Drosophila melanogaster: one gene and its partner. The protein of the gene in region 1 interacts with the protein of each later gene in a pairwise test. Each region holds a gene or a part of one and is shown on either strand. Other genes may lie near its edges.

Evidence for each region.
Region 2: the proteins of IKKbeta (region 1) and key interact in a two-hybrid assay, tested with the Drosophila melanogaster proteins (one study listed by BioGRID).

Annotation. Positions count from the first base shown.
Region 1 is NT_033777.3:16,041,076-16,057,596, reverse strand, and holds IKKbeta (I-kappaB kinase beta), read left to right. Parts: upstream 1-8,175; 5' UTR 8,176-8,276; coding exon 8,277-8,376; intron 8,377-8,436; exon of another isoform or gene 8,437-8,566; intron 8,567-8,785; coding exon 8,786-10,239; intron 10,240-10,294; coding exon 10,295-10,464; intron 10,465-10,532; coding exon 10,533-10,928; intron 10,929-10,983; coding exon 10,984-11,017; 3' UTR 11,018-11,250; downstream 11,251-16,521. Other genes in the region: msps (mini spindles), read right to left, coding at 1-45, 208-303, 806-1,305, 1,364-1,601, 1,661-4,194, 4,254-4,573, 4,638-4,708, 4,764-5,452; CG5013 (uncharacterized protein), read right to left, coding at 7,015-7,629, 7,681-7,809; Jhbp5 (juvenile hormone binding protein 5), read left to right, coding at 11,688-11,790, 11,923-12,254, 12,322-12,376, 12,437-12,738; Jhbp4 (juvenile hormone binding protein 4), read right to left, coding at 12,880-13,318, 13,394-13,634, 13,848-13,980.
Region 2 is NT_033778.4:24,777,990-24,793,038, reverse strand, and holds key (kenny), read left to right. Parts: upstream 1-5,627; 5' UTR 5,628-5,748; intron 5,749-5,908; 5' UTR 5,909-5,997; coding exon 5,998-6,270; intron 6,271-6,334; coding exon 6,335-6,437; intron 6,438-6,495; coding exon 6,496-6,800; intron 6,801-6,943; coding exon 6,944-7,303; intron 7,304-7,355; coding exon 7,356-7,484; 3' UTR 7,485-7,525; downstream 7,526-15,049. Other genes in the region: Reg-5 (rhythmically expressed gene 5), read left to right, coding at 135-248, 3,871-4,060, 4,189-4,751; CG3589 (uncharacterized protein), read right to left, coding at 7,639-7,727, 7,779-8,238, 8,296-8,405, 8,459-8,622, 8,678-9,384; TyrRS-m (Tyrosyl-tRNA synthetase, mitochondrial), read left to right, coding at 9,610-9,746, 9,814-10,146, 10,199-10,773, 10,832-11,020, 11,079-11,239; CG3594 (uncharacterized protein), read right to left, coding at 11,329-12,081; Lcp9 (larval cuticle protein 9), read left to right, coding at 12,670-12,681, 12,738-13,004; egg (eggless), read left to right, coding at 13,226-14,164, 14,223-14,340, 14,412-14,695, 14,749-15,004.

The DNA of each region.
Region 1 (16,521 bases):
TGCTGGAGTAGAAGCAGCTGTGACGAAGGTGCCTGGTCGAAAGTTCTAGATAATCGAAACAAAAGAAAATGTGAAATAAATTCGAACCCAATTAAACCGCATACACATAGAAGGACAACAAAGAACAAAAAAAGCAACGACAACTTTACAAACAGCAAGCAACACAAAAAAAACTAAACAACACAAGTATAAAGAAAGCCACTTTACGCCTGTCGAGTCAGGGAGCTCAAGTAGGCAACCACGTTTGTGGCGCTCCGATCTGTCATGTTGTTCTGCCCACGCGCATTTAGTTCTCGCTGCAAACTAAGTTAATAAAATATAAATAATAACGAAAATCAACAGAAACAAACCGAAATTTATAAAAATAATATGCTCATCTTTTGGTACATCCGAGGGAGGAAACTACTAACCACTACCGCATCTTTTGAAAGTACAAAACAATTGCACAAACGGTAGAAGACAATTAACCGAAAGGAAACGAACCTACCTTGTCTTCGTATGTTTTTTACCTCAGGATTAACTATATAACATTGTGGTGTAAAGTTTACATAAATACTACAGCTTGTTTTAGAAATCCAAAAATAAAAGCTTTCACTCCCAAACAGAGCCATAACTACGAATTCTCGATTAATAGGCACGCACATTAAATTGGGCAACTAAAATTATACATAGGACGCACATCAACATTTTGTCCGTGTCTTGTGGATTATTTTATTATTGCTATCCCAGAATAATGACAACACCAGTTTCCAACCCTCGGTTGTACAGGGCACTCGCAAAACTTTAAGCTAGCCTTCTCACTTACCCGTCCTCATCTGGTGGTGGAAGCTCGTCGCAACCGTTGCCCACTTCAGCATCTTCGATTTCGATGCTGTCATGTCGTTGAGGTGCCGGCACATCAACAGATGGCGGTGGCGTGGGCTTCTTAGTCTTTTTGGCTCGCTTGATGCGCTCATCTAGCATTGAGAGGTCCTTTTCGTTAAGATGGCCAATCATCTTGTAAGTCTTTTCCCCGGACAAAAAGAAGACCTGGACGATGCAGTTGAGTGCTGCGTTGCGTACGGAATTATCCCGGTCGGAAATCTGGCGAGCAATCTCGCGCACCGCCGATTGGGGACAGATGTTCATGCCATAGCTTTCAATTAGGAAGGTTAACTCGTCAAGGCACTCAGTACGCTGACGGGCATTCTTCGATTTTAGACCCTCCATCACATAGCCAAAGACCTTGACGAAAGGGAAGACCAATATTACTTGCCGCAGAACGCGGCGTACGCCATTTCGAACAGCATCCTTTGGATCTCCGATCTGGGTGTGAAAAAGAAAGCTTAGAAAATTGTAATACCCCCTACTATCTGGAACTTGCCTTTAAAAGCAGATGTGGGACAAAACTGCTTCCCTCGTTCTCGGCCAGAATGTATTCCTCGTCAATGAGTACCTGGAAAACCTGTACTAGATATTCGAGACCCTTAATCAACACAGAAGGGTTCGTATCGTAAAATCGCAGCGTCAGCCATTTAAGTATTAGGTCCAGATTACACACCAGCGCCTTACTGTTACCAGCCAGATCTTCGCTCAACTGCTCGATGACTTTCAAGTGGTAGCTTCAGGGCAATTCAAGTAATTATTTAGGTAATGCGAAAGGGACACTACAGGGACTTACCGAAAATCGTCGTGGAACATGTTGGCTATCAGTGCTTTATTTACGTTTGCGGTCATCATTTGGTCGCGTAACAGTTCGGTGAATTCCTCTCTTGGGGTTACAAAAGTCCACTTTAGTACCTTCATTTTTTGCTCGTCTAGCAGCCGCTGGTTTTTAGCACTGTTGGCGCACAGTAGCGGCGATGTGTCGATATCTTCGTCCTTTTTGCGCGCTGGTACCTGCTTGTCTTGTCCTCCGGCAACCCGGGCTGTAGCACTCTTCTGGATTCCAGGCGCACCACCTGCTCCACCGCCGCGCACTGTTTTTAGCTTCGGCTCCTCAGGTATTGGAGCCTGATGCTTGCCTTTGGGCAGCGGTTTTACCGGAAGATTAGGACGCGCTTTTTCGAGTGCTGCAAGTATATCCTTTTTGGACGCGGGCTTCTGTTTGTCCAGAGCGCGGTTCATTGCATCAAATCCAAGGTGAATCATAATGCCCAACACCGCCTCGTTGGCATTTTTCCGGACATCGGCGTTTCGATCGCAGATGTGAGCATATAAGTGCGGCACCATTGAATGGATATCCTCCTTCGATACTGACTTGGGGGGAAGACCAGGCAGCTTATCTGCCAGCCAAGCCCACAATTCTGTCTTTAGAGCTGGGGATCCTCCTTTCAGGGCATCGGCTATCATTTCGCTCTCAAAAAATTCCTTATAGCCGCCCTTTTCGCCAAAACTATTGATGCAATTGAGGGCAGCGGCTCTTACAAAACTCTTGTTATCACCCAGAGCGTGTAAAAAGCCAGGGAACAAGTTCCGCACGTGATTTCGACAACCAGCCCCCATGGCTGTGGCAAGCTGCTCGCAAATGGCAAGTGTCGTTTGGGCAATCTTAGCATTGGAATCTACCAGACGGTGGGCCAGAGCAGGAGCCAAGTCGCCAATGCTGGGTTTGATTAGCCGCGCCTCTGAAATAATAGCCTGCAGCTTAGTCAGACCCTCGTTGCGAGTTTTCCAGTCCTTGTCGGACATCTCCTTCAGCAATGCCTCCGTAATCTGTGGAGCAATATCAACGCGTGGTAGAAGATCAGCCATATTAATGGGCTCCTCTTCTCCGGCTGCCCCACCATCATCGTCCTCATTGTCTGGGGAATTACCAGCGGTTCCACCGCTGCTACGTTGAACTCCTCTAACAGGCTTGGGTGGTTTTTCGCCCACATTCTTGTCAAACTCTACCTGGATCTGGGACTTTAGTGCAGGCTTCTCGCTGTCGAAGAACATCATTAGAGCTTTGCCCATATACATAGACATGGTGCCTACCATTTGAATGGCGGAAGCACGAACCGTTGGATTCGTGCTCTGCACGCCTTTTCGTACATCTTCAATAAGTGTCTTTGGCTGCAATTGGAAGCCGAATTCTATGATTGACCTGTTAACCCAGTTAAAGGCCTCTGATTGCACTTTAGGCGATTTTTGTTCAAAAGCAAAGCTCAATACTTTGCCCACAACATACTCCAGTTTAGTGGCTTCGGCAAAGGCAGACAAAACATCTGCAGCTGCTGCACCATTCTTGGCGTCTGCTAGCTTCTCGATTATTTCGTTAATCACCAGATCAACGGTTGTCGTGGTCAGTGGATAGTTTTCAGCCACACTGCGGATTATGTCTAGCTTAAACTTGAGTACCTGGAAATTCATTTCTTTGAGGCCTGGCTTTCGTCCACTGATTGTTCGGATCAGGATCTGTGATATGCCAGCCTGTTTTGCATCAAAACCGCTTATTTCGCCCAGAAGCTGTTCCACAGCAGCAAGGCGGTTCTTCCAGTTGGAATCCACCAGCCCATTAAGAATTTCGGCTGGCAGAATTTCTTCGGATTTTTCTTGCAATTCCTCGGGGGTTATTTCGCGTTCCGTGGCTAGGGGTTTTCCACCCGCTTTAAGAGCTGCAGTTGGGGCAGATGTAGCTCCTCCTCCACTAACCGTCGCCGGTTTTTTCAAGACCTTACGTGCCCCTGTAGTGGCCGGTCGGGTTACTGGCTTAGGGTCCACACTACCAGCCACTGTCTTAGCCGGAGCAGCAGCTTTCGCAGTCGGTGCAGATGCAGGTCGTGTCTCCTTCTTTGGACCTGCAACCTTTATTTTAATCTCCGCCTTTTCTTGGCACTCCTTTATCTTGGCCATTTTGAGTGGATCGACGTCGGCGAGCAAAGGAGTCACCGCTTTGTCTCCCATTAGCTTTATTAAAGTACCAAGAGCTTCGGCGCTGCTGTCGCGTACGGTTGGATCTGGTTCGTTAAGCGTTTTCACTAGACTGGTGGTCAGAAGTTTAAGCAGCTTTTTGTTTAGCGCGGTTGGTTGGGTGCGGGTTAGGGCACGGGCAATAAACAAGGCCGTTTCGGACTTAACACTTGGATTTTTGTTGGACAGGGACTCTACAATGGACTCTTGCTGGGCCTCTAGAGAAGTGGAGGCGTATATGGCATCAATAGCTTCACGCAGCGCTGTCACAACATTAGGTTTCTTCTCTTTAAATTTTTCCAACAGGGATGGGACACAAGCCTGAAATAGAAGAACACATATGAAAACACGTTATTTGGAAGAAGGTGAGAGTTACTTACGGATGCGTAATTTGAGAATCGCTTTGCCAATCCTTTGGCTAGCAAGGCTAGACATTTTCCGGCCATTGCAACGAGGACTACGTTGGAGTCCTTGGTTATAACCTTTTTAAGAGCGCTTACCAGCGCTCCATACTCGCCATTCTCTAGCTTGGGGTGGTCAGTGAGCAGTTTCTCCAGGACTTCCAACGATTCTTTGCGCAGAGTCCATTTCTTTTCCTCCAGCTTATCGTAGAAGTCCTTGGGCATTTTGGAGAGAATGTCAACGGGGTCTAGAAGATCCATAGGATCGATTTCTTCAACGCCAGCCTCGCCATCATCCTCTGCATACGAAAACCAAAATCAAATCAATAATTCACTGCTTTTGTAATATCGAGGGCTTCATACCATTATATGCATCCTCGGTCGCTGCAGCATCGGCGATCTTCGCTTGCTTTTCCTGCTGGGACTTTAGATATCTAAAAGTAAGAGCGGTTTAGCTAGGCAATGATAGAGAGAAATCCTTGAACACACCTGGAGGGTTCAACGCGTTCACCTTTGAGTTTGTCGAATTCATCCTCCAGCTCCTTTAGCGTTACCTGTGGTAGCGTTGAGATCTGTGCCTTCATTGCAGCTCCGATCCAACGGTAAATCTCAACAGCCAGCTGCTTGCCCTCATCTCGGACCGTCTTGTCTCGGTCAGACATTAGCGGAGCAAGCTTTTTAATTAACGGCTTGACGCCGATCACCTTGTGTCCGAACTCGCGGAGGGCCAGTGTGGTGGCTGCCACGCAGGCAGACACAATCTTAGGGTTCTTGGCCTCCATACCTTTAACCAGCTCTTCGACGACGGCCTCCTGCTTCTCTATCTCCACATACATTAGAGCCACTTGGACGGAGAGCTCCTTGGTTTTGGTCTTTGGCGCCGCAATGCACTTCTGAACGATGCCTGTCATCACGTCGCCTACTGTGCGTCCCGCCAGCCCGCTGTTCTCCACAAAAATGAGGGCCGCTTCTAGACCCTTTTCCTGGGCCAGAGCATTAGAGTCCACTACCATCTTCTTTATGAGCCCTGCAAATTTAGACCATTCCGGCGACTTCTCGTCATCCAGCTCGCGAAAGATCTTTGCGGCCTCCTCGTAACCATCGACGCGGGCTTTCCATAGTTTATGGACACACCGCTCCTCCACCGGCAACTTCTTGTACTCTGTGTCCTCGGCCATTGTGTCGTGTTTCGTACGCTACTCGGGTTCTCCTCAATGGTCTCAGTCGCAAACAGCCTCAAGCAGCATTCTGCGAAACAAAAAGATAAATATGTATAAAAAAGCTACTTTAATCGAATTTTTCTTAAAAGAAAAACTAGCCAAGCTTCCAATGAAGCAGAACTATTCCGGATGTCAGGAGTCATCGAGCTGATGTTTTAAAATTGAGCTTAATAGTCTATGAAATACCGATGGCCAAGGAAGCAGAATCATCCATCCGTTTCGCTCGAGGGGCGGAAAAAAGTAAATGGGTCGGCCATATTTAGATTGTCGTTTTCTAAGTGCAGTTATTTGGCAAACAGAAGCAGAAATAGGAGAGTGTAAATTTGGATTTTCGGAAAAGGTTGGTGGGCTTGTCACCCAGGATGGGTGATATCATGTCGCTGAATAGCGCGTTATTTTTTCAGTCAATTAATCAGGGGCACGGCAAATACCCCCCGCACAACCACTACAAAAGGTGACACACGCACACGAAAGCCTGCGACTGAATCAGGCGTGGATTTTCCATCACTCCCATTTATTATTCATGCATCTGTCTCTTTAATATTGTTTTGATGCGCTCCTACTGTGCTCACGTTTGAGTAGAGCATTTTTCAATTCGGATATGCCCGCGCTTTGTTTCTTCCTCTCTCTTGATTTCGCTCTTTCAAGCTCTCACGCACACCGACGCTCTCAAGTTCGAATTAACGGATCATACCGCAGGCAACAACAAATGTTTCTCCTGTGGGCTGTGTGTCTGGATTATGCCGTCGTTTACCGTTCCACCCAACCGCCAATGGTTGCAGCGGCTATCAATTTCCAGTGGCTGCAACTTGAGAGCCGCAGATGAAGCACATATCGCCCATTTTAGCGACAAACAAATTGCGACGCCCTGGAACAAAATCGCGATGCATCCGAGTGCATTCCGGTACACGCACTAGCACACTCACCATCAGAATTGTGATCCAAGTACCGCCGTAGAGCGGGGACTGGGCGAGGAGCTGCGGGACTTACAGCTGGCCAGGGACAGCGGCTTGAAAGGGCTGCGCAATGCAATAACTTCGATTTTTCGCAGGCGACGACGTACCAACACTTACACACGGCACAACACAGAAGCACGCACACTTATTCGACAAAGACACACCGACGGGGTCTTTCCGGGATGCCAAGTAATGTAGCAACAATGAACAATAACTTAACTACGTTTCCAGCACTTCGAGCCTCTTTTGTGCAGCGGAATTTACTTGGTTTCGCGGTAGGTAAATAAATAATAATTTTCGCAGTTTTCCAACAGCGTCGTTGCGCCAGTGTGACCGCTACTCACAACTCTAGCATCCCCTAAAACCTAGAATTAGTGTGCTGGGTGGAAAACTTTGATAGGTACGCGCTAAATTTTAAACATATATTTCCAAATATTTGGCCAACATTGATTTCAAGCGATTACCACAGGCAAATATTTATTTGATGTTTGGGAGCATTCCCGTGTAGAACATTAACTAAGAGAGATTTGACATTCAGCATAAAAAAAGCCAATTGTATAATTGTTATGTTGTATTTATTGAGCCATCGCTTTCGATGCGCGTGATCTCCAGAAGATGAATAGTGTGTCCGCCCATAAACTCCAGCAGATCCACTCCCGACTCCTTGCCAATGTCCTCCATGCTGATGGGTAAAGCCTGCAGCTTCCACTTCTTGAGCAGCGCCTCTATGGACCAGTCGGCGCTCCGCTCCTGGTATGTAAATATAAATTTGGCCCCGGCATTTCGCTCCAGCAGAAAAGCAACTGTGACCACGATATCCTCGAACACGCTGGGATCGTAGAAGCAGTCTGCTGCAATGATAAGGTCCAGAGGCGGCAGTCGGAACACGCTGTTCAGCAGCAGGCCCCAACTCAGGCCCACCACATCGATATCAACGCCCGGCTGCAGTTGATTGGCCAGGCAGGACTTTCGGATATGGGCCAGTGACTTGGGCAGAATGCAGTTGTCAGTAAGTACCACTTGGGCGCGGCATTTGGCCGCCAGAATGCCGGGCAGGGCGGTGCCGCTTCCCAGCTCCAGGATGCGCTTGCCCGCCAGTGTCTGTCGGCGCTCCCACAGGAAGTGGGCTAAAATTGGTGCGCAAGGCCATGTGTAGAAGGAGTAGGCACCCTGAAGCAGCTGTAGGCGGACACTTTAGATACTACACGAACACCTGGTTCTAAGGATTACCTCAGGTATTTTGATCTCCAGTCGCTCGGCGGGTGATCCGCTGAAGACAAACTTGCGGATATGCTCGGCAGTGGCTGTGGCCGCCACAATGTCATTGTCCTCGCTGCCGCTCTTCATGTGGAAACGCATCTTAGCTCAAGCATGCAGGAGTATTACTATTTTCACTAAACTAAAGTTATTTTTCAGCGTTTTGTTTACAACCTGTTTGATTAGCGATGTCACTTCGTTGCGATAACTTAATCGATAAAAATTGAGGCGAGTGAAGCAAATAGTGACCGAAGGGTGACTTCAGTAGCAGTTGACATTTTAAGCCACCATTTCTAAGCTTCAATTAAAAACGTTTTTGGGTATCCCAATTCGTCCAGTTTATTTAAAGGTATGCATCCCAATTGAAAGTGGCTGCAGCTGAGCGCTCCTCTAAACAAAATTCTCGTGACCGCGATTGCTGCTGAACGATGACTAGTGTATAAGCAATCGAATATCGCAAATCTTGTATGATCACTGTGGTGTTTTGCTTTTCCGATTGCCATGGAGGGATTCAGATTCTTGGAAGAATGAGCTCCGTAAATAAAATAAAGCTTAACGAAAACAACAAGATGCACTCTTTTGGGAACTGGGAGCGGTGCCGGAATCTGGGAGAGGGCGGATTCGGCCTAGTGATCCATTGGCGAAACCGAACAACGGGCCGTGAAATTGGTGAGCTATAAACACCTTATGGGCTAACACTAATATACATATACATATAAATATTTTAAGGATTTTCTTTTTCGCAAACACACATTACCAGCCCCCAAACACCCTCCCCCTTTCCAGCCTTACTCATAAATAAATAAATTTTTTGTTGTATTTTGTATATATCCAAATAATAAAACCATAAAAACAACATACATATACATATGAACATGTTTGTTGTCCAACAATTCCCAGAAACCGAGCTGAGGCATGCGTTTCCGGGTGGTCCACTGATAGTGATAGAGGGCTCGAGTTTTGCGCGTTTGGTGTGGTCTCCGCATTAGATATGTCGCTTATAGCCTTTCGGCTGAGTTAGCCGATATGGCAGATATTTTAAGCGTCAGTCTTAAGTGTTTATTTATTTTCCACATAGCCACCAAGCACATAAAGGAGATGGGGGCCCTGAGTGCCGATCAGCAAGTCAAGCTCAGCGAGCGTTGGAACAAGGAGCTGAACTGGTCTCGTCAGTTTAAAAACTTTCCCCATATTGTGGCTGGCGTGGACATCGAGGATCCGGACTTTTTGGAGTACCTGAATGGCATGTTTAGTGCCAAGTTGCCTGTTATTGTGCTGGAATACTGTAACGGTGGAGACGTGAGGAAGCGTCTGCAGAGCCCGGAGAATGCTAATGGTCTGACGGAGTTCGAGGTGCGGCAGATACTGGGAGCCCTACGTAAGGCCCTACATTTTCTGCACTCGCAGTGTGGGATTTGCCACCGCGATTTGAAGCCGGACAATATAGTAATCCAACGTGGAGTTGATGGCAAAAAAATCTATAAGCTAACCGATTTTGGACTCGCCCGAGGAACTCCCGACCAGACCATGGTGCAGAGCGTGGTGGGCACCCGACATTACTATGCCCCAGAAGTGGTGGAAAATGGTTTTTACAACTCGACCGTGGATTTATGGTCCTTCGGAGTAATTGCCTATGAGCTGGTCACTGGTGAGCTGCCCTTCATCCCCCATCAAACCCTTAAAAACATTATACTCAATCTGATAAAAAAGCCCGCCAAATGCATTGCTATCACAGAGGATCCGGAGGATAACACTCGTTTCGTGAATCAGTTTGAACTGCCACAGACGCACCATCTGTCGCGGCCCTGGGCTGCTCAGTTCACCAAATGGCTGGCAAGCCCGTTAAACTCAAACTACAAGGAACGCGGTCAACTAGCAGCTAATAACGTTCCAGTCGTCTTCGCTGACCTGGACAAAATACTCAATATGAATGTGCTAACTATTTTTGCTGTTAACAACTGCGAACGACTTGAGTATGCGGTCTCTGCGGAGATGACTATGAAGGATCTAATTGCGTTGATTGTCCTGGACACTGGAATGGACGAAAAGGAACTGTACTTCGTGCTGCCCACTTCCCATCCGCACAAAACGATTACGCCTAAAAGTACGCCCTTGCAGCTGTATGTGGAGGAGTGGAGTGACACAAGCAAAGATTCACGAAAGTGGACTAAGCGCAGCAATCCACCTGTGATGTTGTACATCTTTCAGGTCAAGAAAGAGTGTGACTACAAAATACCTGAACCCATTCTATCAATTCTTTCTCGAAAGTTTATCGCTAACAAATTTAAGACGAAGGAAAGATGGCTGCAAAAACGTGTTGTCTTGGATATGCTCTACGTGCTAACCAAAGAGCAAGCAAGATACGAAATGCTCGTGTCAGGAATAAACGAGCGAGCGTTGTCGTTGGAAGACGAAATGATGGAAAACTCGTTTATAGACAGCATCGATAAGCAGCGTATCATAATCTCCTTTGCCTATGATCAGCTAACAAGCTTGCTAAAAGAAGCCCAAGCAAAGATTCCGTCCCGCCAGGTAGCAGTTCTTACTATACTCCTTAATCCCGTAGTAATTCAGTGTTTTTTTCCAGCTTATCAGCAGTGCACAGTGGGAGAAGCTTAACCGCAATTATAATTTCATTATACAAAGCGCAAAATCAATTAGGTCTTTCTTGGAAGCCTGCTTGCGGGAAGCCAAGGACATGGTTAAAACCACCAATCAACTACGGAAAGAAGTTTGCGAGAAAGACCTATTCGATTGGTAAGGTTTTTATATCAAATGACCAGACCAATATGTATAATGCAGCGTTTTTATTTTTTAATTCTTAGCGCTCGATTTTATAAGAAATATCTCTGCAATGGTGCGATAATTTCGCCATCAGAGTTAAATAATGACGCCGAGGAATTCGCAAAATCTCGTTTCAAGTTATATAACGAGGGCGAGGCTAGACATCTGCCCAAGTCTATCGATCACATGCATTACTTATATTTTAAGACCAAGGAGTCCATCCCGGTCCTTCTACAACAATTTTGCGACATCAAGAAGGAGATATTTCAGATTAACTTGCAGATGTTGATGTCAGCCTCAAGCACACCACCTCCGAAGCTTGAGCTAAGCGCAGCGATGGACCGCCTAGCTATAAGCTCTGGCTCACCCAGCTCGGATCCATTTGACTCTCTACGCACGATAAACGCTATCGAAGAGGCAGAAAGGATTAACAACATGTAAGTTAATACAGAAAACTGTTAAAAATTTACTAATAAATCATTTGGGTTACAGACTTGTTAATGAAATGAAAATTGATCACTATTAGTGTGCATTCTGGTCGACCATACATTTTAATTTGATTTCAATCAAACCGCATAAATATTTCTCCATTCGAAATCATACAAATGTGTATTTCGATTTTTTGTTATTGCCCGCTTATCCAATTAATTAGCTTTATTAGTTTCATAGAATCTTTAATGTTCTCATTTGGAAACGTTTTTTTTTTTGTTTAGAAATATGTGTTACGAACATTGAAATAAATGACAAACCTTATTTTTTACTAGCTACGCTTTTTCACTGGAAAACCCAAGTGTTTACACGACTTAATTTATGTTCGCGGTATCGTGAAATAGTGCACTTGCATTTGATCTGATTTCCAGATGTGTATGTTACTATATCAATACTTGCTATATATTCAATCCACAGTAGATTATATAATTTTATGACATATATATATGTATGTATATATATATATAGACAGACCGCTTAATTTCTGAATAAACAGCTGTATATAGCTTGGCTTGGTCAATTGAAATGAAACTTGCTGAGGATTGCAATGTCACGGGAAATTGCACATGCGGCAGAACAGAGAATTAGTCGGCTTTTGGCCATGCCAGACGTTGCTATAAAAGAAAATCGAACAACTGGGCAGCCACCAGAAGCCGAAAGCCAGTGACCACTGCCAGAGCTTCAAGGAGATCGCAAGGAAACACAAAATGAACCAATACTTTTTGACGGGCTTGCTTTTGGTGCTAGGAGTAGTACTACATATAGACTGGACAACAGCCAAACCTCCGGCGAAAAAGGCGGATCAGCTGCGTACGTAAATCAATTTGTCTTTCTTATATTTTTACTAACAATCGCGTGAGTATAGTGATATTTTGAAACTTAACAATTATTTAAATCGGAATAATGAAAAAGTAAAATTATATTGTTGTTTCTTCCTTTTAGCATCCTTTCTTAAGGTATGCCATCGCAATGCACCCGACCTAGACACCTGTGTTCGAGAATCTTATGAGGAACTACGTCCAAGGCTTATGGAAGGTATACCAGAGCTATATATACCTGCCATGGAGCCGCTGGTTGTTCCTCAGGTCAAGATGGACCAGGACTCCGGGGCCATATATTTGCACTCAGTGTACCGAAATGTCAAAGTCACAGGCATCTCAAAGCACACGGTCAATGAGCTGCGTCTGGAGCCTTCAAAGCTCAAGTTCATTTTGTCTCTGACCTTCCCAAAGCTGCATATGGAATCGGACTACAGCATTAAGGTCAGTAGAGAAGTATGAATATTGTCATTTCAACAATTTAAACTAAATTGACTTAACTAAAACTGTTATATTATTTTAGGGAAAAATTATGATGATGCCACTTTTGGGCGATGGCCACTGTAAGGTGGATCTCGGTAAGCTAAAAGAGTCAAGTCTTTACAGTCTATATATATTTATTTGTAATATTCCTGCAGTTAACATCACCATGCGAACCGAGCTGATTGGACAGGAGTACAAAAAGAATGGAGCCAACTTTTTGAAGATCAACACTGTGAAGGTCAAGTACGAGCTATCTGATGTCCACATTCATCTGGATAACCTTTTCAACGGGGACAAAGCTTTGGGTGATCGCATGAACGAGTTTCTCAACGAGAACTGGAAGGCACTGGCCGAGGAAGTGCGTCCGTTGATGACCAAGGCGCTGGTGGACATTTTGAGGGCCTCCGTGGATAAATTGTTTGCTTCTTTTAGCTACGATGATCTGCTTCCCATGTAAAATATCTAGTGAAGCCCATTTTTTTTCTATCTTACTGATTTAATCGTAGTACAAACAGTAGCCTACAAATTAAGCAGACAGTTAAAAGCGAAATAAATTATAAATATAATACAAAAACGGCGGACGTGGTCCTGAAGATCACTAAACCAGCCACAGTTTGGTGGGCATCTTGGAGAAGACATTGTTCCACAGTCCATGAAAGATGTCTGCCAGTCCCAGTTCCAGGTCTGGACGCAGCTCTGCTATCACCTCCTTGCCGTTTTGATTCAGAAAGGAGTTAATCGATGCCGCGAGAATTTCGTTTCCGTTGAATAGATTCTTCAGGTGTATTCTCATGGCGCCTACATCGAAGCCAACCTTCATTTCATCGATATGGATGATCTCGTCGCCCGTGCGTGTCTCGTTCCGTAGAGAGATCCTTGTGTACACGGTTGTGTGTACGTTCTTCAGCGCCATAGCCACGTCTCCACTGCCCACAAGGGGCAAAAGTAGGATATTTCCCTTCAGGTTGTACTTCGCCCGGATCCTAAGCCTTGGAAGTTCCAGCTCGAAATTTAGCAATCGCCGCTCCAGATCCAAGCTAGAGAGTAACGGAGCGAAATGAGTGTGTTTGTTAGTAGCTATTTGGTGCTATTTGTGAGTTATATTTAATTACCTGGCTCGTCGCACAGTCGCGTTGGACGGCCCTCGGATGACCAGGTCTTGAAATCCTCCGGATAGCACCAGGTTGCCGCTGCCCTTGGATACCGACACCTGGTCAATGTTTAGGGGCTCAAAACTCTTTACTCCGATCTCCGGAATGCCAGCGGCTAGTGCCGGAAAGCATCCCTCGAAGAGCTGCCGAAAGCACTTGTCCTCGTTCGGATTAGAGCGTTTGCACGTCTGCAGCCACGAGGCTGCGAGGAAAGGTTTGGTTTATACATTTGATTTCCAAAATTAGGTCTTTCGATACATGTTAACTTTAAATATAGACTCAAATTTACTACTTAGTTTGCTTTATCTTTTTCAAAACTGATCTTTGTTCTTTAAATATACATATATATATATGTACATCTGTGTATATGTATATATAGGTATATATTTCGGGTCTGTTGGCCAACTCTACTTACGCCTCTCCTGCAACGGCAGCTTGTCGTTGACAATTTCGCGAGTATACGCCCCGTGTGTGACCGTTATCAGGCAAATCGAACCGAAAACACTCAAACTAACGGCCAACTTCCAGTATGTTGTGCTAACAGCCATGTTTACAAGCAAACGAAAACTAAAGCAAATTGTATCCTTTGGATCGGCACTTTAATCCGTGGCGTGTAATCTGCTATCCGTTGAGCGCGACCGTTGGCGACGATGGCTCGAGACCAAGTGCCGGGATAGCCAAGAGAAAAGTCGAACGAAACCATCAAAGGCCAAGATGGCCAACAATAGTTTTGTTTTTCGTTCGCTGCTTTTGCGGCCAGTTTTACATACACTTTTTTTCCCCCGCACTGGCGTAACGAATTCCGCGATTTCGGTACTACCCGTTTATCCGACTGACAAGTGACCACGGGAAGAAATAAAAAAAGATTTTGAAAGCAATGCACTTTTAAGGAATTGATTTTCTTAAAAATATTGCATGTGATTATCATTAAAAATATCATTCAAGTGAAATATGTTGCATACGTTTTGGTGTTTAAAAGAATTGTTCTTTCTACAGAATAAGTCACGTATAAATGACTAGTAACGACACTAATTTATTAAAGTATCTCTGGTAAAAAATTGCAGAGAAAAGAAAGTTATTTTATTATAGTTATTGCCCATTGTTTGAGCGATTAAATTTATATAAGCCATTCAACCCGTTAAGCTTCATCTGCTTTAATTGCTGCAGGTACTATGCCAACTTTCCCAAGTGTAGTGCACATGAAGCTCCACCACTTGACCGAATATTTGGGATGTTTTATTTTTTGTATTGATATGTGTACCTTACATTTTACTTTCGTTTGCCGCATAAACGCCACCGAATCCCAGGTTGTTTATGTTTATGAATGTTGCGCCACACACACGCCGTCACACATATGTACATATACATATATAGCCTGGCCTGCTTCGGGCTCCACCATGGTGGAGCAGAGCACCCCCGAAGTTGTTCACCTGTTGACTACTTCTGGTATTACGCAGACGCTGCTCGATCGCATCGGGAGTTGGAGTTGTCTGCATGGGATAGTCGGCGCCGCCTTGCCCCTTCATTGTCACGGGTGTTGTCCGGTTTTCGGACTCTTCGTGCTCCAATGCCTCGGGCCACCGATGCCCATGCCCATGCCCCACAATACCCCCTTCCATGTGGCACTTGTCGCGTGTAGTCTGGTTGCAAGTTTCTGTTACGCAGTCTCCCCAATTAATACTTAGCCTAGAGGTGGTCCAGTGACTTGGTTCGTGAAGGCATGGATGATGAATTAAGCCCACTCGTAATTGACCCATGAAAATACATTGCGTGACAATAAGTAGCATTCATTTTCATTGGCTATTAACATTTTTTTACCACTCTTTTGTAGACCTTAAATTTGGAAATTAAAATCAATGTTTAAAACTTTGTAGTTTTACATTTTCTCACGCTGGCATCTCCAACACTCATTTGTCATTGGGGAAGTCACTTAATTGCCGCAGTTTACGAAAACATGAATATGCAAATTCAACTGTTATGTGAATTATAATTATTTTTATAATCTTTCTCCCCCAAGGTTTCAATGTTGCATGCTGTGACAATAACCGAATATCCGAAATATTATCCATGTTCGTCTCTCTCCGGTTTTTCGGCTTGCAAGTTGCGTGCGGAAATTACCAAAATTCGTGTCTGCGGATTGCGATATCTTAAATTAAAGCTGCTTCCTTACCGACTAGCCCATAAAAGCAATATAAATAAAATCCAGCCGAGATTGAACAGCTGTCGAACCGGCAAAAGTTGTCCCACTCGTGAAGCCTGGGATTGCGCAACGTTCGGCTTGAATTATTAACCAGCGTTTTATTTTCTTTAAGCGCCAAACAAACGAGTTTAATGTTCCCTATTGATTTTTTTGTATTTATGTTTTATTGGCGTTTATTTTCACACTTGTCGGTGCATTCCTGGTTTTTTTCAATACAGCCAGCTTGCCAGAGCAAGTGATGCAATCACCCGTCTCCATCACTTTTTGCGATATATTTTTTTTAGCAATGTCATAAAAGCAAAGAAAACAAATAATTGCATGGGCTTTCCCATGGCTTTTGGCTAATCCGCACCTGATCACGTGCAATTGGCGCCAAGAGGTCAATAGCTTCGATTGGGTTTGTTAAATTGGCACCTTGGCAGGCAGATCACGCCTGTGTAATTTGATTGTTTATCACCAGACTGATGGTACATTTTGACAATCTGACATTGACCAACTAGCCCGTTAGTGGTTATTGTGAAAATGTCTAAGCAAATTGGCAATGGTAAAAAAACACTATTTTACTGATTTGCAGTTCATTTGGAGATTTAAATATTTACGCTGGCGGCATACAAATAGTTAATACGTTGTTAGTAAGAGGTTTGGTTTTATCATTTATCTGTTAATTGCTCTGTTATGTTACAATGCATTGTATGGATTTATAGCTTCTAAATAAATAAATATAAAAAAAAGTTAATACGTTGTAAAAAGGCTACAGTGCTGTTAAGTAATATGTAAAGTAAAGTAATGTTGACTTGTATGTTGGGTACATTTGGTGATTTAAACTGCGCTTGAAAGTAGGCAACGATTTTTATCCACATTAAGCACGACTAAAAGCTCACAGATATGG
Region 2 (15,049 bases), on another chromosome or scaffold:
AAGTCGCCACACGAAGGTTACACAACCGAACCGTGCAATTGACCCACGGAACACGGATCACAGATCACGGAGCACGAATCCCCTGAACTCTCCGTGTAGTGCGGAGTACGCAACATAAAAGCAGCAACGACACCATGACGACTGCGGCGAAAGTAATCTTGGCCTGCTGCCTGCTGGGCGCCTTCCACATTCAGATCAGCTCGTCATCGGCCATTCCCATCTGGGAGTTCCTGACCCGCAACGAGAAGGTAAGCGAATTGCACATTGCGCATACGCCGCGTCCGCCAGGTGCAGGTTGCGCATACGCCTCGTTTACTCCACTTACACACGGCAATTGTCCTTGGCATTGCGCATCTGTCGAGTGGAGTCTGTTGAGTCTATTGAGCTCGATTCAATCTGTCGAATCTAGCGCAGCGCTGAATACTTGATCAGCAGAGCATGATCGTTAATAATAGCGATATTGATATTGATATGGATATGGGTATGGTTATGGATATGGTGTTGTGATAACTTCAATGAGTTCGCTGAGTTCGCATATTAACGGCGCTTTGCGCGCTTCTGTTTTTGGGTTTCTCTCCGCACTTTTCAGTCCGTCGAAGACAAAAAACCAAAGGAATGAATATGAATGTCAGCATGAATATGAATGGTTGACAAGACGCCGTTCATTGTCAGTGAGCGGTATTCGCTGCTCATTTGCATAACTGTACCGCGATTGGCATCGTAACCAACATGGCACAACAAATACTCGAGCCGAAAGCTGAAGAAGAACGGTCCTTGGCATAAATAGACGCCTGCGGAGTGCGGTCTTGACATTGGGCCTTATCAGCGCCGAGTCTGGCGAGGATTATGCGGTGCGGTACAGTGTGGCCTGGCCTGGGAATACCGGTCCAGTGGGCGAGCGGCCCAGCGGGCCGGCTGGAAAGCCACTTGATTTCGAGAGCGTTCGAGGGGAGTCCGCTGGCTGTCGTTGCCAAAACACCAGCCATCTGGTTTCACAACTGATGAAGCGAAAAGGTTATACCGCCTGGGATCTAGCCGCGATTAGCCAGCCAATCCCCCAAACAAGCGAGTTCGGTGGAGCGTAGAGCAAACATTAATTTTCATTTATGAGGAACATCAGTTTCAATTTACATTCGCAAGTGCTGCCAGCGAGCTGAGGAAAAACTTAATAATGGCTAAAAGCTTTTCACTTTTCTGCACAAATGTTTGTGCAACAAAGCGTGACAACTCTGTGGCAATTTTCTTTGCCGTTTTTGTTTATCTGCTGTTTTTTGGTTAATGAACTCCGCCAAAGTGGCTTCAGTCCGCTCATTAATTAGCCGCCGGACTTTAATTTATTTGTAGCGATTTGCCAGTCATTAGATCTTTGTGCCCTGCTGCCAGCGCATCAATCCGAACCGAATCTCTGCCTTTCTGACCGCTAAGCACGCGAACTGCGCCTTAAATCCGCGGATCGAGACAATAGAGCCCGCAGACAATGTGACCCAATCCGATCCCGGGCCAGAAGTGATTGAAAGCCGCATCCGGCATCCCACACGAGTTTCTCGAAATGGGAAAATAATTTCTAAAAGGCAATTAGCTGCCGAAACGCAGCGATGTGGAGACGCAGTTTGTGGGGCTATACCTTTTTGCAGTCCATGTAAATTTCTAACCAGACTCGCCTCGGAATGATCGCTTTGAGTGTATTTATAGAAGATGCTTCAGCTTCCTGTTTCGAGGCGACTTTACCCTGCTCCCGAGTGATCGCAGCTATTTGAGCGCTTTCGATTTTCGATTGCAAAAATAAACAACAGCTTAACAATTTTTTTGTTGCCCTTATGTTTTTATGGGTGCAAACGCGTTTGGCCGGTTTGCGGTCCGGGCCCCAATAAATAAGTTATGTTCGCATTACCGTTTTGTTTTTACGTAAAATATGCTGGGATACACAAGCATGTGTGTAGTAATGGAACCCTTTTCCCATCCGATACCCGATCGAACTTCGATCATTACTTCGTCTTTTAGCTTTTTATTTTGTCTGTTATGAAATTTTTCATTTTCGTGGCTGTCTGTGCGTTGGTCTCTGTGGTTGGCCATTTCGATGTTTCATAATGTAACCTGCGCATATCAACAGGTTATTGACCGCCAATCCGCTGGGGATGGCATGTGGTATGGGCCAGGGGTTTACCACCACCACTTGCGGCCCGGGAAGCAGTCGCGTCTGCAGACCCACGAGACCGCTTTTGGCCATCTCTGGGTCTCGCTTCTCGGGGGTTGTGCGTCGACTGAGTATCTCGCATAGCCACAAGGAAGTTTGAGATACAGATACAGATGGCTCGGGCCAAGATCAGTCTGTCTATAGGCTAGACTTGTGGACAAACCAGGCGATGCCAGCTCAGCTCAACTTAGCTTAGCTCACTTCGCTGGAAGGCTAATGAGTTACAACCTGTCCGCGACGATCTCGAGTAAACATATTTTTATAAAAACGAGCGTATATTATATAAGCGAATTAAGTACGTGACTTTGACAACTCCCGCAAAGGCTTTTTGGAATATTTGCGCACTAAGCCATAAATAAATTGCTGTTTTGCTGAATTTGCAATTTTGACTGGGTTATATATTTAATTGTGCCAGGGCCTGGACCATAAAATCCCGACCGAGTTATTCGAATCAGATAACGTGCTCCTGACGCAGAGTGGCTTCCACTGGCGGAGGGGTGGGCACAAAGGAACCGATTCGTTCAATTAATCGCTGCCCCACTCAAGTACACATCTGAGCAAATGCACACCCAGGGGGGTGCTGAGGTGGTGCGATGGTATCCACTGCAATTCGCAGTTTGCACACGTTTGTGTGGCCCCACTGAGTGGGTAACGGTAATTGGTAATGTGAGCCAACCCGCCAACAACCCAACTCTCCAACTTTGGCCCCTCCGAGTCCGCCGATCCGATATATCCAATGCATTATGCAAACGGCGTAAAATTGTAAAACCCAAAGCAGAGCCAATGCAAATGAAGCTCTTGCTAGATTTTGAAGCAGATCAAGGGTGTATACAAATACATATATATATATATATACATATATCTAGAAGGAGGCTACAGACTCGATACTGGATCCCCTAGTGAAGTAACCCAGTTCCCCATTTCTTTTTATTTCTTTGTTCTGCTGTTTGCTCGTCGACTCTTCGATTGTTTGGCTGTCTGTCGGGAGAGGTGCTAAGTCGTGACCAATGCCGGATTCGGAAATTTCAGGGAGCTTCTGCTCTGTATCACCACCACTAAATTAGCATCGGAGCTGAAGCGATCCACTTGACGTCACCGACGACCAGAGAAATCCCACAAATCTCAGATGCAGATGTGTCACCGCAGTAGAACATTCGGCGCTAATTAAAAGTCCATTCGACGCTTCGCTGGCCACGGAGAATAGACAATGAGCTGTTGCTTTGGCCGCTGAACCGTAAACCCATACTCATACCCAGCCCATCCGAACTGGGGCACATGAACCAGATGGCAGCCATCCAATCTCGCCCTGGGAGGCAGTTGCTCAACCCGCGGGCCGCGCTGTCGAAATGCATTTCGTTTGTGCAACGAAAGTGCAATCATCTCCCGGCTGACACACACGCACCTTGCGAAATCCCCCCATTGAGAGCACCAGGCTTCAGCTCCACCTCTGCCCTGCGTTACCCAAGAGACCTGGTCGAAGTATGATTGCTTCGAACTTTCTTTTTTCTTTTTTTTTCTAATATCACCGACATATGTTCTCCGATTTTCGTTTATGACAAATCAATACCATATTCGGCTGGTGAACAGAGAAGCGATGATCTGCTTTCTAATTTCTATAACTTGATTCTTAAACACAAGACGCCATTAAAATAACCACCAATTTTGTTACTTTGCAGATGTCCCACCTCTACTCAACATTCGCTCAATTGGTAAGCGTGCACTGCAAGTCAACAGCCGCCGTCGGAGGCCTCCCAGTGAACCAGTGCAAGCACAACCTGCTCGGTTACGGGTCCGCCAAGCTGCAGACGCTCTCCGACGTACAGCTGGAGGCACTAGATCCGTATCAGCGCGATGCCAACGAGCTGAGTAAGTGCCTCTATCTGCGTGGGAGAATGATTGATTTCCGCGTCAGAACTTCCGCAGTGCGCAGTCGCGACGTGCTCGACGTGAGCTCTAAATCTCGGTGTCGATCTAATCGCTCTTTTCTTCCGCAGTCTGGTCATCGATTATGGGGGACCATCCGAGCGGAGCCAGCCTGGTGACAACGAGGCAGCCGCTCCAACAGCCCCTGCCAACTCCTCCTGCGTCCTCTCTGATCATCCTAACGCGCCAGCAACTTCCGCACGGAGCATCCCATGCCCACCCCATCCAGAGCTCCGGCTCCGCCACCAATCCAATCTTCGAGAGCGGCGAGCAGAAGCACAAATACGCCATGGACATGGACAAGGCCTACGGCTACGGGCCGCAGTCCAGCAGTGAGCTCCCAATGGCCGCCGCACTGACTTCAGAACCGTCCAAAAGATTCCTCACCGGACCTTTGGTGATCCGGGTGCGACCCGATGGCTCCCCGGTGGAGGAGGACAAGATGATGCCACTGCCGCGGGACGAAGACCTGCCCTACTTTCATCTTGGTCTGGCCGCCGCTCAGCCCAACAGGCACCGCAAGATCGCCACAATCAGCTCCTTAAAGCAGCAGCACTTCGCCTCTATCCTGCAGAGCGACCTCCAGCCACCCCACCAGACGCAGAGGCGTCTGTTCCGCCAGCAACAGGCGTAAGATCGCGGTCAGAGGATCCGCAGGCCTAGACCTAAGTCCTTGTGTGAATGTGATAGAGCAGATGAGGAGATCCTGCATCATAGAGTGCGAGAGTGAACGTGTGAGTCTTCTAGTTGTAGCCGTTTGAGGAGTTTTCTTGAATGCACTTGAGCTTTAATGGAATTTCGTATCGTATTCGTTTAAGTTTTTTTAATTTTATTTATTCGCGTGCATTAGTCGTAAGATCACATAGAGATTCTTGAGTAATAAACCGCATGATGATTATCATTGTTACGAACGTATTAATTCTAAAATGTGTGGATTGGGATGGAAATGAGGATGGGGATGCGGTCTGTGCACATAGCCAGGAACCGGTTGGTTATGGTAATACGAAAGTCGCATCTCGGCCAGCCACCAGTTCCTTGTCGCGAGCTCCACTCACACCTATATTTAACACGCGAAAGCCTTATTAACCCACATCTACAGAGTTGAGCCGAACAATGGAGGTACTGAATCCGGTTTGGCGGGTTCAGAACGCACTGCGCCGTCCATTAGAATTTGCGAGTTTTGGCAATTACATTTCGGTGTAATTTCGCTGGCAACTGGTTTGTCAGGCTCAGGCCTTTAGGACGCGCCCATTAATCTCAGCTGAGCAACAAAGGAAGGTAAATTGGGATGCACGTCACTGGGCTTGAATAAATGATGCCGGGACTTTCCACCGCCCTTGCAGTGCAAACTGCACTTCATATGCACGAGTTTTGGGCGTGTAATCAGTTTTATTGAAATTAGCTGCTTTTAAATTTAGATAGACGAGCTCGCCGATTGTCGATAACATTTCCGATTATGACAATATGACAATCAATGACACAAAAAAAGGCACATTTGAAACGATTGCGGTCACACTGGTCTAAGTTGTTTGGTAAATTAGTTAAAAGTAAATATTACTCCGAAAACAATTTTATTTCCTTAAAGCTTGTCAGCAAAGCAAAACGAGATAAGGAACGCAGTAGTATATAAGGTATATATGCAATAAACATGACAATTGCTTATTCCATTGTGACGCGTCGATGTAATTCCCACGCCTAATGAATCATTGCCCTAAAACTCATTTATTATACATTTATCCTTACTATTGCCGATATCAAATTAATCGATTTGGCTAATACTTTGCCGTCTAGTTTTCGAAAGAGGGGAATTCCCTCACCTGCGTTCACAGTCGTAAAATCTGATTATTAATACCCGCCATTGCTACCGCGACAACGGAGACATGTCGGACGAAGAGTCATTCGTTATCTTGGGTAGCTCGCCGTGCTCCTCGCTCATGCCGGACAGTTCCTTGCGGTCCGACGTATGTGGTAACGCGCAGGAGGCGAAGGAAACCGTTGCCTCTACGAGCACTCAGCCGCCAACAGTGAACTGTATTCCAGTCAGCATCACTGCATCGCAGCAGCAGCACAAATCGCTGGATTCCGGATCTTCCCAGCAACAATCCCTGGCGACCAGCTTCATTATGGGAGAAATTCAATCCGATGTCCTGAAGGTGAGCGTCTGGTTACCGTCTGGTCTGTTTAAATTCTAACAACAGTCTCTAAATCCAACCACAGAACAGTGTTTATTCGCAGTTTCCCAGCCTCTGCTCGTTGCAGGGCTCCGCAGAGGAAGTAGTTAAGCTGCAGAACATGATGACCGAGTACCTCGCGCTAAAGAGTGAGCATTTTTTTCCCGTAAAGTAATATACAGCAATAATATGCCATTATCCGGCCAGGCACACTTGACAAGGTCAACCAAACCATGCTGAACTACCACAACCTGACTCAACAATGGCGCCAGGAAGCCGCCGACCGAGAACACCAGTACAAGGAGCATGTGAAAGAGTGCCAAGCGCAAATCGCGATCCTTCGCGTGGAAAACCAAGAGCTGAAGAGGGACCTAGAGACGAAAATCGAGCAGATTGAAGGGGTTCATACCATCAGGCTAAAGGAGCAGGATGAGCTTCGTAAGAGCGTATCTGAGAAACAGTCCCTGATCGACAACATGCGCGTGGAGATTGACAAACTGAAACAGCTAAATGTATGTCTACCAGTTGCTCCAAGCGATAGGGCAAATACTTGCATACAGACTCGCAATCATTGCTATTCTGCATTGTAAACTGGACAGTATCTCTTTAAAATATTCTCTTCCGGGCTCGCACCCTTTTTCTTCTGTTATTTCAGCACTCGTTTGAGTTCGTACCAGAGTATGCAACCGAATCAAAATCCCAGGAGCTGATAAAGAAAATGCAGCTGGATATTAACGAGCTGAAGGCCAGGGACATCCAGAAGCAGGAGGTGATCAAAGGTCTACAGATCCAAAACGATATCTACCGCAGGGACTTTGAAATGGAGCGGGCAGATCGCGAGAAGAATGCCGGAGAGAAAGATCAGTATCTTATGGACTTGCGATCATTGCAGAGGAGGAACCAGGAGCTTATCGAAGCTCTGGCCGAGTCCCACAAGGCAAGCAAGGCGTGCTCGACCGCTTCTCCGCTGAGTTCAAGCAGAAGCAATTTGCGAGAGGAGCAGAGACCAGTAAGAGTACGCTGATTCCAAAGTCCATAAATGTCAATACTAATTTTTGTATCGGTAGATTCTCGACCCAACAGGCGCCTCATCCCGGACTTCAGACACCACTTTGCGATGTCCGATCTGTTCAAAGTCCTTTAACGCCTTAAGCGTGCTTCAGAGTCACGTTAACGATTGTTTGGATAAAAACTAAGCACAATTTCTTACCATATTAATAAATTTATATATATATATATATTTTCTTTTTTTACAATATCTTGTTTAATCTTAAAAGCCTGGCTAACCGGCCATATTATATAAAAACACTAATTACAGTTTCGTTAACAATGAACAATGCACGAGTCTCCTCAGAGTTTGCTGCGAATGGGGGGCATTTCCAGAGACCACACGCGGTGTACATCTGGACTGGCTACCAGGTTGCTAAGCACATTTAAGTCTGCAAAGAATTAAGATAAGCTAGAAACCATCGATTCGACATTCTGCTCACCGTTGGTGCGTGCAAACTGCTGCAACGTGTTGCGGATATCACAAATTGGAATGGCTGTATTTATGTTTGGGTAGACGACGTCGTCTAATTTAATGTTGGACACACAAACGCCTAGGATGCATCCATTCTGGTCGAACATCGGTCCTCCACTTTGGCCCGCCTGCACGCTGCCATCGGACATAATGGCCCCGGTGTCGCACTTGATGACCCTCCCTTGAAAAATCGAAGGGTTGAAGTCGTGCCTGAAGCTGAAGTTAACGTAGTAGGGAAACCCGGCGTTGTACACCATTTGCCCGACGGTGGCCGGACTCCTGGCCAGTCGCACGCAGCATTGCTCCGGCACATCCTGCGGAGCTGTGAGTAGAGCCAAGTCGAAGGGCTTATCGCTGTCCGGATTGCACCAAATCACCTCAGACTGGAACTCGCGATCGGCAGCACGGCAATTAACAGTCTCAATGTTCTGCGTGAAAGACATTATTTAGTGCGCCAAGGTTTCGGGCAGCCCATGCTTGCATACCTGTCCCACCACATGTGCACAAGTGAGGATAAAGCGCTTGTTGTGTACTCTTATGAAGGTCCCGGTACCTTGTTGACCCGCCGACTCTATGACCACAATGGTGCGCTCCCCTAGAACGGTGTGTAGTTACTATAAGAACAACGTGGAATTAGTCTTAACTTACAGGCAAAGCTCGACGGCTCTCGACTCAGCTGGAATGCTGTAGTAGACATGCCCAGTTGTTCCATAAAGTTGCGCAAAAGGTAGCCAAAGTTTGCGGCCAGAGTGAGGTTGACGTTTTCGTGATGGCGTTGAAATGAGGTGCATATCACAATGCCAACGAGCCGCCTGATAAACGGAAATTTTTGGTATATTACGGTTTTGTAACGTATTCATCACCTACAGCTTGTTGTTGAACACTGCAGAGCCTTCACAGCCCAGGGGCAAAGCGTTTGAAATGGCAAACAAGCAGCCACTTCGTCCCATAACATTAGACACCTTTCCAATGCTGATGGTCTTGTAAAAGTTCTCCAGGCCAAAGGGCGAGCACATGACCAGCACGTCGTCCAAAGTGTGCATGGGCTGCAGGTATCGCAAGTAGTTAGCGATGTGCGCGAGGAAGCGCTTGAAGGACTTCTCCTTTTCGGGCTTCCGCAGGCCCAGCACCACGAAACTGGAGCGCAGCACCTCACCCGCATCGCCGGAGTCAGCGGTGAGTAGTATGTGGTGCAGGTTGCGGCAAACTTCGTTCGCACAAAACACGTACAGCGGATGGGCAGTGAAGCGGGAGAGGATGTGTGGTTGCCTCGACCCAGGTGCTGCGATTGGCCTCGGCCGTCGTTGCTGCGGATCGAAGGTGGCCACAAAATGTAGTGAGCGGATCTGCGCATCCTCTTCCTGCTCCTCATTCTGAACATCCAGCAGTTGACCCCTCTGCAATCTGGCAACAATTGCCTTGTTCTGCGCTCCTTTGTCCCCGTCTACGGCCAAATGTGGTTGCAGAATGCTTCCAGAACTGATGATGAGTTCGTTGTTAATAATGATCGCGGACTGTTTTGCAGCCGGTGGACTGGTGACCTCCAACAGGGCGTGGCGTATCTTCAGCAGCATTATCTCTAGATTTGATTATGAATAGCCCCTTGTCATGGAAAACTGCGTTGGCTCCAAATGGAACCTTTGTGTTTGGACTCCGATGTTGCCATTCGCAGCGACAACCAGCTGTTTGCAAGCCAAAACAAGTCAGATTTTGTCATTCACCGCGCGCCGATCAGCTGATGGCTCCAACCTCAAAATCAGTCCCTCTAGGAATTTAAAATTTCCAACGAACTTCGCATAATGCTGCCTCTGCGCCGGAGTTTGCTCAAACCGCTCCAGGATGTACTCCGACATAGCCACCGCCAGATGTCGCAGAAGAACCTCTTGGAGCTCACAGATCGAGGCTTTTTCCACGGCATATTTCCTGATACAGCGGCGTAAGTATTGGACCATCTACAAAGAGAGAAGATTTCCATTTTATCTATGAAAACCGCTGCTCCACAGTCCCAGGATGAAACAGCTTTTTACCAGAGGCCAACAGAGCATCTACGCAGGATTCGATCCCACCGCTGACAGTCTACACGTGGGCAATCTGCTTGTAATAATGGGCCTGATCCACTGCCAAAGAGCCGGCCACAGACCTATTGCCCTAGTAGGAGGAGCAACTGGACTCATAGGGGATCCCAGTGGACGCAAGACAGAGCGCAACCAACTGGGCGAGACGGTGATCGAGACCAATCTAAAGGCTATCGAGCAACAGCTTCGCCGGGTGTTCGAAAATCACGAGAACTGCCTTTGGGACTCTAAGAAACAGAAATTGCCACTGGCTCCCCTAATGTGAGTGTGTAGCCTACATCAGGTCGTGTTAATCTCTTTCTAATCTCCGCAGAATCGTCAACAATGCCGACTGGTATGCGGACCTGCAGCTCATCGACTTTGTGGCCAACATGGGACGACACTTTCGCATGGGGTCAATGCTCTCCAGATCCTCGGTGCAGTCCCGCCTGGAGTCGGAGGACGGAATGAGCTTCACCGAGTTCACCTACCAGATTTTCCAAGCCTACGACTGGCTGCACCTACTGCGCCGCCACAACTGCTGCTTTCAAATGGGAGGCTCCGATCAGACGGGCAATTTAATGACTGGACACGAGCTTATTAGCCGCGTAGAGCGAAAGCGAGAGGTCTTCGGGCTCACCCTGCCATTGGTCACGACGGAAGAGGGCGATAAGTTCGGCAAGTCGGCAGGCAATGCAGTGTGGCTAGACGGTAACAAGACCTCGCCTTTCGCCCTCTACCAGTTTTTCCTGCGCATGCCAGACTCCGAGGTCGAAAAGCTCCTGAAGCTGTTCACCTTCATCCCGCTGCCCCAGGTGGAGCAGTTGATGCGGGAGCACACGAAGGAGCCCGAGAAGCGGAAGGCGCAGACTCTGCTGGCTGAGGACGTGACTCTGCTGGTTCATGGAGGTTGTACTCTATATCATTGTTCCTTTATATCAGTAGTATAGAAGTTTTCAATTCACAGAAAGTGGGCTGAAGCAGGCGGAACGTGTGACCAATGCCTTATACAAAGGCAACGTGGAGGGTTTAGCGGAACTCAACCTTTCCGAGATCCAGCAGACTTTTCAGGGTGCTACTATGGTGAACCTGTTGACCGAGCCAGGAATGTCCATCCTAGAGCTCGCCATGAAGGCGAAGTGCTTTCCCACGGAGAGTAAGTTATCTTTCTCTTTGGAAATATGGGGCATAATCGATTTGTGATCACTCTTTAGCGGATGCTGTACGCATTATAAACGCAGGCGGATTTTACGTTAACCAGAAGCGGGTGCAGAATATCGCCGAAGTGCTAACTACGGGCGTGCACATCCTGCGCAACGGAATTTCTCTGCTGCGCGTGGGCAAACGCAACTTCTATATTGTGCGCTGGCAATAGTTAACAGTAAACCTCTTATCCGGTAATGTTAACTTTTAATTGTTGTTAAATAATCATAGAATGGCTTACATTGTAAGAACTTATGCTATTTATGTGGGTCTGGGGGCGGGCTTTTTGCGCCACCGCTTTCGCGCCAGCATTTCCTTGGCCTTCTCCTTTTTCAGGTCCTTGTCGTAAAACTTGCCGCTCTTCGTGAAGGTCTTCTGCTCGTTGCGCATCTCGGCCAGCTTTCGGTTCTTCTGTTTGATGATGTTCTTCTTGTTGGCCGACTTCTTCTTGCCCGCCTCGGAGATCTGCACCTTGATGTTGCGTCCCTGCAGCTCTGTGTTGTGCAGCTGGAAGGCATTCTGGAAACTGCTTAGGTCGGCCATTTCCACAAAGGCGAAGCCCCCTCGTCGCTTCTTGGGAATGCGGATAGACTTGACCGTGCCTGCCGCAGAGAAGTGCAGCTCCAGGTCGTCCTTTGTGGTTTCGAAGTTCAGGTTCGTCACGTACAGGACGTGTCTGTTGGTTTTGGAGGCTCCTCGAAGCAGTGAACTCAGCTGGTCACTGGTTATCTGCCCATTTTCCGCAGATTCCTCTTCCTCGGCTCCGGAAGCAGCACTGCCCTCAGCGGCTGCCTCGTCGTCGGACTTGGCCTCATCCTCGCTCTTACTATCCTCCGGGTCACTGGGATTCCGTCCGTCCTCCTTGTCCACATACGTGCCCTCGAAGATCTCCCTTCGCTTCTGGTCATCGAAGTTTCCCAATAGATCCGCACTGTCGTCGTTGACTGTGCGTTGAACTCGCTTGGGATTGAAGAAAGCCTCCACCTCATAATCGCTGCCAGAATCACTGGCCATCGTGATATTTCTGGGGGAGATTGCAGTGCACACCGATACGCAGACACCACCACGTGGGATTCCCTCTGAATGGCAAATCTGTGCGGTCCCAGACATTTTCCAGCACTGGCTAATTGCGCGCCAAGAAATTCAAATCCCAGGCCATATTGCAATCGCAGCTTGTTAGAAACCGGTTGCAACTGCGGGAGCAAAATCAGACTGCTAATGGAGTTATGCGAAAATAATGCTAATCGGCGTTAGCATCGAAGGAACCGGTTAGCTCTTATCAGCTAAAAATTAATCGTGCGGTGCTGACAATTGATGAACGTGGTTGTTTTGGGAATCTTCCGCACAGATCTCCAAAGATAACCCCCCGAATATGATATGCCGAGTGGGGCGATAATTAATGCCTGCAGAATGACTGCATCTATGTCTTTTGTTTAATTAAGACAAACGACCGCTGGGAGCCAGTTATGAAGAAAATTTATGCAGTTGGTGATTCCGGCCGGTAAAATGTCAGTGGAGAGCTACATATAAAAGCGCAATTTTCGGCAACCAGCAGTCAAAATTTTATCGCTATCTATCAGCACACACATCCCCTTTCCAACCATGAAGTTTGTGGTAAGTGGCATCGAAATTAGATTTTGGGGACCTCTGAACAACGATTTGTCTTTTAGATCGTTCTTGCCTGCCTTTTGGCCGTGGTCTTCGCCAACGAGGAGGCTGATGTTGTAAAGAGCGACTCCGAGGTTAACTTGCTGGACTTTAACTACGCTTATGAGCTATCCAACCATATTCGCGCCGTGCAAACTGGAGCCTTGAAGGAGCACGACAACTGGGTGGTTTCCGGGGAGTACGAGTACGTGGCCCCCAACGGCAAGACCGTCAAAGTGGTCTACACCGCCGATGAAACCGGCTACCACCCAAAGGTCGTCGAGGCCTAATGAACAGGACCCACTCCCGAAGACCGAAATAAAAAATTAAATCCATTGCAGCAGCGAACATTTTGAATTTCCGTTCTTTTTCTTTTGTGTGAATAGACACTCTTCTTCTTTCTGCCACTAAAATCTAGGGCTGGCAAATTACGAGCGAAATTTTATACAATGTTATCGCTTGTCTCGCAAATTTGCATTAATGTGTAAAGTTAAGTAAACTCATTAAAACTATGTCTGGGCAGCCAACAGCCGTGGACTGCTTAGAGAGCAGTGGAAGCACAGTGGAGGATGTCCAAGAAACACCGGCGTCGAGGGAAAAAAGTTACGGGTTGCCGGTGCGCAAAGGAGAAAATAGCTTGGAGTCTCCTGCAGAACAAGCCGCAAAGGATGTGGAAATTGAGGAACTGACACACAGTGAAGCAATCGCCGCCACCGGTTCAACCAGGAAGCAGTGCCCATATGGAGGTAAGGCCCCTGATGAACCTGGAAAGTTGGCCGACGAATCGGAGGACCGCAAGGGAGAGAACACGAAAGCCATTGCAAGCAGCCCGGTTTTGGTAGCTGTGGATTCGGACAGCAGTGTTGAGCTAATAGAGAGTCCTGTCAAATTCTCCTCCGCCAACGAAAGTGAGAAAGATCCGCCAAAACCAGATGCTGTCAATGAAGCTGCGGCTAAAGAGGCCGAGGAAATGACTGATAGCAGCATCAGCAGTCCCACATCCGAAAGTTTTCCTGAAAAAGATGAAAAGACCAATAAGGAAAATGAGCAAGAACCTCCTGGCATGGAGGTAGATCAGGACGTCGAGGAGTCAATAAGTCGACCAGCAGAAGAATACAAAATTGAGAATACATTAAAAGGTCACAAGCGTATTAGCTTAACGGAAATCGAAGAACACAAAATTGTTGATAAAAAAGACGATGTCCTAGAGGTGGAGCTTGAAAAGGGCACTGCTCCGAAAGCTGCAGAAGACGAGAAGCTGAACGCTTTGTTATCAGATGGAGATGTCTTCTACGACAAGGAATGTGTCAACTGCAATTGCACAAAGCTTCATAAACAGTACGTGTTGGCTAACATGGCCACTTTAAACTTTTACCAGGTGCTCCGAAAGTCTTCCAAGCAGCAGTTCCTCTGCATGGGATGCCATGACACAGCAATGGACTTGTATGAGGTCAACTAGCATATTTATTAACTTAAGAGGGAAACTTAGAACGTATTTCTTTATTTAGGAGTATGCTGGACAACTAATGGCCAAGCAGCCGCTGCTGCTAAAGGATTTCCATCAGGATCACGCCGACTTTGTGGCTCTGGACAGCAGCGATGAGGAGGAAGAGGAGAAGCAGCCAGGTGAGACTGCTATCATGATAAATAAACAATAGCAAAAAAAAAAACGTACTAAATATATTTTATCCGCACAGAAAAATCGGACTTTTCGAAAAACAAGCTGCAGCTCATCGAAGATGAACTCGATGATGCCATCAAAAATGTACTTAACAAGGTGGATTTTACGGCTCAGCTGTCCTGGTCAAAAACTATTCTCCAGGCGAAAGCAGACCACTTGGAGCGACAATTCGCACTGGCAGATGTGGAACTCGAAAAAGTTCAGACCACCGCTGACAAAATGCACTGCGCTTTGTATAACTCGTGTCCGGTGGCACACAAACATCTGCCCACCCTGGACATTGAACCCAGTGACTATGTGGTAAGTAAGAAGTGATGCCGTTTGGATCTGATTTAATACAACCATTTACTCAGCATGAAGTTCCACCTCCTGGCGAAATCGTGCGTCCTCCAATACAGTTGGGAGAGACATACTACGCTGTTAAGAACAAGGCTATTGCCAGCTGGGTGTCCATAAAGGTAATCGAGTTTACAGAGAGCACCGCCATCAACGGAAACACGATGAAGAGCTACAAGATTAGGTACCTCAACACTCCGTACCAGATGATCAAGACAGTGACGGCCAAGCACATTGCCTACTTCGAACCACCGCCAGTGCGACTGACCATTGGTTAGTTCCCAATAGACCGGTTATTTATCAATCTATAAACTAACC